Macaca fascicularis: one gene and its partner. The protein of the gene in region 1 binds, or shares a complex with, the protein of each later gene. Links are inferred from orthologs where the notes say so. Each region holds a gene or a part of one and is shown on either strand. Other genes may lie near its edges. The genes, in order: MYBBP1A and DEK.

Region 1 (4,370 bases):
TGGAGGCCCACGAGGGGCCAGCCTTGACTAGGATAACAAGGCAAACGTTTTATATATTTGTGACGCGCCAGGCACAGTTCTGGAGTTGCACTGCCCAATACAGTAGTCACAGCCACACGGGGCTGCTGAGCGCTTCAAAGGTGGCCAATCTGAACAGGGATGTGCCTAAGTGTAAAATACACACTGGATTCTGGAGACTACCTGACAAAAAGTGTGTAAGAGGCTGGGACCGGTGGCTCACGCCTGTAATGCCAGTACTTTGGGAGGCCGAGATGGGCGGATCACAAGGTCAGGAGATCGAGACCATCCTGGCTAACACGGTGAAACCCCATCTCTACTAAAAAACAAAAAAAATTAGCTGGGTGAGGTGGCAGGCGCCTGTAGTCCCAGCTACTCGGGAGGCTGAGGCAGGAGAATGGTGTGAACCCGGGAGGCGGAGCTTGCAGTGAGCTGAGATCGTGCCACTGCACTCCAGCCTGGGTGACAGAGCGAGACTCCGTCTCAAAAAAAAAAAAAAAAAAAAGCATGTAAGATACCTCAACGGTTTTTTATACCAATGCATACTGCAGTAATATTTTAGATATACCAGACGAAGTAAAATGTTACTAAATGACACCTGTTTCTTTTTACCTTTTCGACTAAGTCACTGAAACACTTCAAATTATACATCTCTGTATTTCTATGGAACAATGCTGTTCCAGACTCTCATCCAAGCCCCGATGATGTCTCTGTAACGGGAAGCGCTGGCCGAGCCCGCACAGCGGGTGAGCTCGTACCTCGGAGAGGACGTCCAGCAGGGCCTTCCCGGGCTGCTCCTGCAAGTGGTTCTGGTACTGGGCCAGGGCCTGCAGCAGCTTCACGGACTTCATCAGGGCCTCCTGGTCCTGGTCCCCACGGAACGACAGAGGGTATGAACAGGGCACACTACTGTCCCCTACCCATTCCAAGTCAGCCTACATTCCCCCAGCCCCTCCAAAGCTCTTACCTTCACCAGCCGGCCTGACTGAAAGAGGGCGAGTACTCCGAACAGGTTTGCAAAGAGAGCAGGTCTCAGCATTGTCTAGAAAAGGATTCCAGGCACAGGCATGAGGGGCCCTGGGACTCCCCGTTCCCCAAGCCTCCCACCCCTGGGGCTGCTGACGTCCCTGGATCCACTTACCTTCTTCACCTCACACAGGTCATATTTTTCTTGTATCTGCTGCAGGATGCTGCACAACGGGAGGTCCTCGAAAGACTGTAACAGCTGCCAGCAGTTGTGTGGCAGGAGGAAGAGGGGTTCAGGAGAGTGGCCCAGCTACATCTTCACAAACTTTAACCTCCTTTCCCCTTTCAACTTCTCCCAAGAAGCCTCAGGTCCCTAGTCCCACCCCAAGGACGCCTCTGGAGCTGCTCACATGGAACCAAGTCTCATCCCCCTGCTCTGTCTCCACCAGGGCTTCTGAAAGTACTTTATGAGATGGAGTCTCGCTCTGCTGCCCAGGCTGGAGTGCAGTGGTGCGATCTCGGTTCACTGCAACCTCCACCTCCTGGGTTCAAACGATTCTCCTGTCTCAGCCTCCTGAGTAGCTGGGATTACAGACACCCACCACTACGCCCCGCTAATTTTTGTTGTTTTTTTTCTTTTCTTTTTTTTTTTTTTTTTTGAGATGGAGTGTTGTCCTGTGGCCCAGGCTGGAGTACAGTGGCGTGATCTCGGCTCACTGCGGCCTCTGCCTCCTGGGTTCCAGTGATTCTGCTGCCTCAGCCTCCTGGATAGCTGGGATTACAGGCACACGCCACCACGTCCAGCTAATTTTTGTATTTGTAGTAGAGACGGGGCTTCACCATGTTGGCCAGGCTGGTCTTGAACTCCTGACCTCAGGTGATCCGCTCACCTCAGCCTCCCAAAGTGCTGAGATTACAGGCATGAACCACAATGCCCAGCACAAAAGTACCTTCTATAGCCCCTAGATTGCTCGTCTGAAATTCTCACCCACTGGGTCTTCTCTCCACACCTGGTCTGAGCTCCCCTCAGGCTGATCCTGCAGGCCTGGGTCTTTATTGTTCTTCCCCTTGTCAAGGCTCCTCAGAGGGTGGTCTACTGCAATCAGCTGAATGCCTTTGCAGGCCTAAGGGAGCCCACCCAGCGCGCACTGCTCCCAGCAAGTGTACCTAAGAGGCCGGGCAACCCAAGCACCAAATAGAAAACCTGGCCAGGCCTTGCTCACACTTTCTCCACCTTTATGTAAGGAGACCTCCCTCAGGTTGGCCTCCAATCAACTCTGCCACTCCCTACCTCTCTCTCGGGCTGCCCCTCCGCCGCAGCTGATACACCACACCTGCCCTCCTCACACCCCACCGTTTTGACCTGGATGGCTGGGATCCTGCCAGGAGCACCACCTCACCTGTGCCAGGGCCAAACTGTAACACGGCCGGGCTGTTTCTCGCGCAACCCCGAGTCCCGTGATTAGGCGCTTCAGGGCATATTTCATCTCGGACCCCTGCAGAACCAAGCGCACCCTCGTGTTCAATGGTGAAACAAGGTGCACGCCCCCGCGCACCTTGGCATCTAGGTTCGCGACCACGTGCCCCCCGTCCCAAATCCCTGGCCCGCCGCCTCTTCCTTGCCGGGATATGCGCGGCCCCTGCCCCAGACCCCGCCACTCCACCTTCGGCCTGCCGCGCAGATACTCCAGCAGCTTCTCCGTGGCCGCAAGTCGCGTCTCCTGCTCAGGCTTCGCAATGTCCCAGAAGAAGTCTAAGAACTCGCGGCTGTGCTTCAATAGGCCATGGCGGTCGGCAGGCCGGGCGCCACTCTGCGTCGCCTCTCCAGGAGACAGCGGCTCGGCGAGTTCCCTGCTCCCCATCCCCGCCACACTCACCGAAACACAAAACACGTGTGCCCCGGGCCCAGCAGCTTCCAGGTCAGGGCATGGCGCATGCGCACCGGTAGTGTCGGCGCGGAGGCGGAAGAACCTGGAGGGTCGGGGAAACCAAGAGGGGCGGGGCCACCGAGAGGGGCGGGGCCGGGGCGGATGACCCCCCCGAAAGGCGGGGAAGGGGCGGGGCCAGGGAAAGCGGCGTTTCCGCCTTAGCTCTGAGCGGAAGTCCCTAGCTGAGCGGCGCGTGGTCTTTCCCAGCCTTCTGCTCACACCCGTACTTTCCTGGCGGCTGTGGCATCTGCCCCTTTGGAGCCCCTTGGGGGCATTGCTGAGGGCCCATCTCGGAAACAAACCGAGGTGTAGCACATCGATCCGCCTCGTCCCCGATCGGCCCCTGCGCTCCGAACGTTGAGCCATTCAACAATTACTGGGCTCCTGCTGCGTTCCGTGCTAGGCGGTCGGAACAAAGCCGCTGCTCTCGTGGAGGAACACGGAGCCAAATGCATTAAAAAGGATCATAATTATGAAGAGAATTAGGAATGCAATTCTAATTGCAGGAGCTTTTTAAACGCTGGAACGTGAATACATCACCCGTTAAAAACACGGCTAATTACTATTAAATAGGGTCTACAATAATGATTTGAGGGGTTGGTCAGGGGAGGCCTCTGTGAGGAAGTGGCTTTTGGGATGAGAGCTGAGTGACAAGAAGGGCCCCCCTTCCCCGCACTCCTGCAAGTATCTAAGGGGACGAAATCCCAAGCCTTGCGATTTACAAAGGTCCAGGGCTGGAGGGGCTGAGGCTGGCGAGAAGCAAGGTTGCATGGGCCCCGGGCTAGGATTTCATTCTGAGGGTGATGGGAAATCACTGGTGAGTTTAATGCAGGGTCAGGCTTGGATCTGATTTACATTTTAACAAGATGATGCTGGCTGCTGTGTGGGGGATGGACTGTAGGTCTGCGCAGGTGGAAGCACGGGAAGACCATTTAGAAACTGGTGAACTGGACCCAGGGAAAATGAGAACAGGTCAGATTTGGGCTAATGTGGAGCAGGTTGGGGGGGTGATGGATTTGGATGTCGGGGAAGAGGAAATGAGGGGGATGCCAGGTTTGGGACCTAAATAACTGGGTACATTGTGATGCCATTATGGAGAAGAATTTTCTTGGGAGTGGGAGGTGGAGGTGGTGGGACCAAACGGTCTATTAAATCAGAGAAGCCTTTTACAATGGCAGGGGAGGGGAAGTGCTACTTACTGGTCACCGTTGCTTCTTGGTTTGAGAAGCTGTGTATAGAGGGCTGTGGTCCAGAGAGGACCTAACCCTGGGGGGAGGTCAGGGCTAACCTTCACCTTGAATTTCCACATGCTCAACTCCAATCCCTTTGTACCCAAGCCCCTGGGGCACCTTCTCACCCTCTCAACCGCTTCTCTGCTTTGCTGTCTGTTCTAGAAAGTGAAATGAAAACATTCACCTTGCACATCTGGTGCCCCAGGAGGCAGGAGGTGAGTGGAGC
Region 2 (4,288 bases), on another chromosome or scaffold:
ACCCACTTCAGGTCTCCTGAGAAGTGTTCTGTCACTCGGTGAAGCTCCTGTCCACCTTGCTCACCCTCCAGTTGTTTGCGTGCCTCATTCTTCCTGGACACAGGACCAGAACTCAGGGACTGCCAAATGGTAGGACTGAGAGTTGTAACACAAATAGGGCTGAAACACAACCCCCCACTCCCAACCACATTTCAGGCAACAAGGAGAGACGAGCTGTAGAGTTTGGATAGGATTTGAGTGGAATCAATAGTGGGAAAAATGGTATACAATTTGAGGGTAGAAATGACACTGTTTGTGTATGTTTTGGAAGGGGAACAAAGGGAAAAGGGAAGATTCAAAGGAAATGTCAAATTTTTGTCCTGCAACCGGGAGTCCTAGCAAATTTCACTGATCCCATTTCCATTAAGTCCACTGAGTACAAGGATCCTTTGGGTGAGCTAGTGGTTGAAGATTTGGGAGAAAATGAAATCACATACAAAAGAAGGCAGCACTGAGCAGGGAAGATACTTCTTTGAGTGTCTGCAGTGTTGAATGTGTAAAAACATTTGCATAGATGGCCTAGAACTCAGGTAGAAGGGTCTGGACCGGCCAAATTACCTCTACTATAGAACAGTGTGTGAGAGAGGAGAGGGGAAGGAATGGGGTGGGAGGGAGCCATTCCCCTTATATTTACAGGGGTGTAAATCTATGTGGTTGGCTATGTGAACCTTTAACGTGGCAGGTAGGATCTTTTTCCTTACGGTAGACCTTACAAGCGATGGGGTCCTCAGAAATACAGCAGATTTGGAAATTATCTATCACCCAGCACGATTTCTGGGGCATTGATGAGACGGCTGATTAATACCCCTCCACCTCGGAGAAACACTGTAGATAGCGACTTCAGGGATCTCTCAACTTCTTCACCGATGCCCGCCGCGCCCCTCCGCGCCCGGGACTGCTCATCATCTTTTCCGGGAAGCGACGGTGAAGACAATAAACACGCAGGCCCCCTAGCGTCCTTCCGTTCCGCGCTGCCAGGCCGCCTCGCCTCCCGCTCCCGCCCGCCCCGCGGGACACAGCCCGCAAGCACTCCGGGGCCCGAGCGCCGACCGCACGCCAGGCGCAGCCGGGAAGAGCCCCGAGAGCGCATCCCTCTGCCCGCGGCCGAGGCGACCCCTCGCGGTCCCGCCCGCCCGGGCTTCCCGTGGAGGCGCCCGGCCACCCCGCCTCCCCCGCCCCGCGCCCGCCAACTCCCAGCTCGCGGCCCTGATTGGTCGCCGCATTCCCGCTCTCCTTCCCGAACCGCCATTTTGAAAATCTTGTTGATTCTGGGGAGCCGAGCGCGCGGCAGCGAGCGTCACGCCAGACAGCGGCCCGCGCGCCTTCTCCTCGGCGTCGGCCGCCGCCGCCTCCCAGAACCTCCTCGTGCCCTCGCGTGCCAGGCCCGTGGCGGCCGGGATCCGCGGTGAGGGCTGCGTCGGGACACCAGAGGCCCGGTCGCCCCTGCCGCGGCCGACGGGGGAGGGACGCGGCCATTTGGACGGCGGCCTGGGGCGGGGGAGGGGACGTGGAGGGCCGGCAGCTCGGGCCGGGCCGGGCCGGGAACAGCGCAGGCCGGGCGGGCGCGCGCGCGCGGGGGCGGCGGGCGCGGTTTCCCGCCTCGGGAATCCCTGGACGGCGGCGGGCGTAGCGGGAGGGAAGCCGCCCCTGGGGACTGAGCGCTACGGGAGGACGCAACTTTAAGGGCAGGTGTCCCGCGGGAAGGGTCGCATCCTTCAGGGTGGCCGCCGGGTCCTACCCGCAGGAGTAGGGGGACAGAGACGTCCGGCTTTCTCCCCGTACGAAGGTTCACAGCATGTCCGCCTCGGCCCCTGCTGCGGAGGGAGAGGGAACCCCCGCCCAGCCCGCATCCGAGAAAGAACCCGAAATGCCTGGTCCCAGAGAGGAGAGCGAGGAGGAAGAAGACGAGGACGACGACGAGGAGGAAGAGGAGGAAAAAGGTGGGGGGAGTCGCGTCCCAAGTGATGGATTTTTCAGACCGAAGTTTTTTTGTTTTTTTCCCCCAGGAAACAAGTTTTCTTGCTCTTTTCGTGCTTAGAGGCGTAAAGTCGGAGTAATTTTCAGCGAGAACGTGTGCACAATTTATCTGCTTTTGTGCTGAGCGATGGCGTAGAATTGACTTTGTGAATTCCGGTTTTTAAAGTATTTGTTACCGTAGTAGTGATGTATTGGAGTGCAGCCGACTTCTCGCCCGCTCTGAATGCTCGTTAACATTTCATCGTTTGACGGGAAGTTTGTCGGTCTTGGATTTGATTTTTTTTTTTAACTCCGTGTGTGCACCTTTGAAGTTGCTAAGTGGATGTTCTAATTTTGTCCGTTTCATGACACATCTTTTGCCTTTTGAAGTTATTGTAAGGTCTTAGTGCAGTCTGTTAAGACTGAAGTTATTAAGGCGAGACCTGTAAGTATTTGAATGCTTAAAAATATTTTTACATTTGCCAAAAAGTTTCCCTCCCTGGCAAACAGCGGTGAAAGCTGTTGCTACTTGAGAAAGTAGTTAAAAATGAAAAAAGTGAACTCTGAAAGAAAGTTAAATGTGAGCCCAGCACTGTCTCGGTTTCGAACCTGAGTCTGTTTTAAGGGAGGGCGTTATGAACCCTGATTTGACTGGAGATGTGAAACGGAAACTTAACAGAATGGAGGAGTGTGCCGCGTCAGTTTATCCAGGATGCATGCAGTGTCTGTTTCAGGTGTACCCGCTTCTTGACTGTTTCCAAACATTTAAAAATCCAAGTCGCGTCTCAGCATTCTTTGATATTAGCCTAGTCTGAATTTATTTCGTATAAGTCGCGTCTCTCAGCATTCTTTGATATTAGCCTAGTCTGGGTTTACTTCGTATATGTTTACGACTCAGGCACACTTGGGAAGAGGTTGAAGCTCTCTTCCTAAACCCGGATTTTTTTTTTTAAGCCTCAACCAGCCTGTGGTCACAATCTGGGTTAAGATTACAAGATGTGCCTTTTGTTTGTTTAAAGTGGTATGTGCCCTAAGAAGGGCATTTTTAAGTAAAGCATGGCTTTTTGAGTATAAGTTTTTATATAAACTATTGCTTAATAATATGTTATTTTAAAATTATTTTTAATACAACAGCAAAACTGGGTGCACTATCTCACTACTAGCCAAAGAGGCTCTGCACTTTTTCTCCAATTTTTTGTTTGTATTTTAGTCTTTTTGTGGGGGCAGGGTTGAGATGCCAAAGAAATGGTGAATTTTTTTCATGTCAGGAAAGAATTAGAGAAGTCATGTAAATATACTGTAAATGGCCAACGCAGTAATGCTTGGGGAACAGTTGGTAGTTGAAATAATCCCATGTTTTGTTCTAGACACATTATTTTTTAAAACATGATTTTGTAGAAAGTTTATCCCCTAACAGTTTTATTGTAGCTCTGATTTATTATTCTTTTTACTAATTTGAGGTGTTTGTGGGACATGTAGGATTGTGAAAGTTTTTATTCTACTTAACCCTGAATATTTTAACTTTAGAATTGAGGCATCATGGAAGCCAGACAGTGAAATACTTTCTGTATTAGGGTTTTTTTCTTTTTTTTTGCGTTGCTATAAAGAAATACTTGAGGCTGGGTAATTTATGGAAAATAGGTTTAATTGGTTCGTGGTTCTGCAGACGGTACAAGAAGCATGGCGCCAGCATCTGCTTCTGGTGAAAGCCTCAGGAAACTTCCAGTCATGGCAGAAGACAAAGGGGGAGCCGGCATCTCATTTGGAAGTTGGAGCAAGTGGTAGGGGGAGGTGCCACGCTCTTTTAAACAAATCTTGAGAGAACTCACTTATCACTAAGAGTTACCATGCTAAGCCATTCATGAGGGATCTGCCCCCATGATTTAATCACCTTACCAGACCTCACCTCCAACATTGCAAATCACTTTTCAACATGAAATTTGGAGGGGGCAAACATCCAAAGCATACCATTGCACCCCCAGTCCCCCAAATCTCATGTCTTTCTCACATTTCAAGATTCAGTTGTGCCTTCGCAGTAGTCCCCCAAAGTCCAGTCTTGTTTCAGCATTAACTCAAAAGTCCCAAGTCTGTAAGTCCAGAGTTTCATCTGAACATGAGTTTCTTCCACCTATGAGCCGGTGAGATCAAAAACAAGTTATTTACTCACAGGATACAGTGATGGTACAGGCATTGGGTAAAATTTCCATTCCAAAAGGGAGAAAGGCCAAAAGAAAGGTGCAGTAGGCCCCACACAGTCTGGTTTGGCTTATGTTTGGTTTTTGGTTTTCTGTGT

The links.
Region 2: MYBBP1A (region 1) and DEK share a complex: the UniProt entries of both Homo sapiens proteins name them as parts of the B-WICH complex. The link is inferred for Macaca fascicularis from reciprocal best matches to the Homo sapiens genes MYBBP1A and DEK.

What each region holds. Positions count from the first base shown.
Region 1 is NC_088390.1:4,642,455-4,646,824, forward strand, and holds the start of MYBBP1A (myb-binding protein 1A), read right to left. Parts: upstream 2,907-4,370; 5' UTR 2,847-2,906; coding exon 2,649-2,846; intron 2,481-2,648; coding exon 2,385-2,480; intron 1,244-2,384; coding exon 1,160-1,243; intron 1,061-1,159; coding exon 986-1,060; intron 885-985; coding exon 777-884; intron 1-776. UniProt on the Homo sapiens protein: May activate or repress transcription via interactions with sequence specific DNA-binding proteins. Repression may be mediated at least in part by histone deacetylase activity (HDAC activity).
Region 2 is NC_088378.1:154,648,124-154,652,411, forward strand, and holds the start of DEK (protein DEK), read left to right. Parts: upstream 1-1,297; 5' UTR 1,298-1,444; intron 1,445-1,783; 5' UTR 1,784-1,834; coding exon 1,835-1,979; intron 1,980-4,288. UniProt on the Homo sapiens protein: Involved in chromatin organization.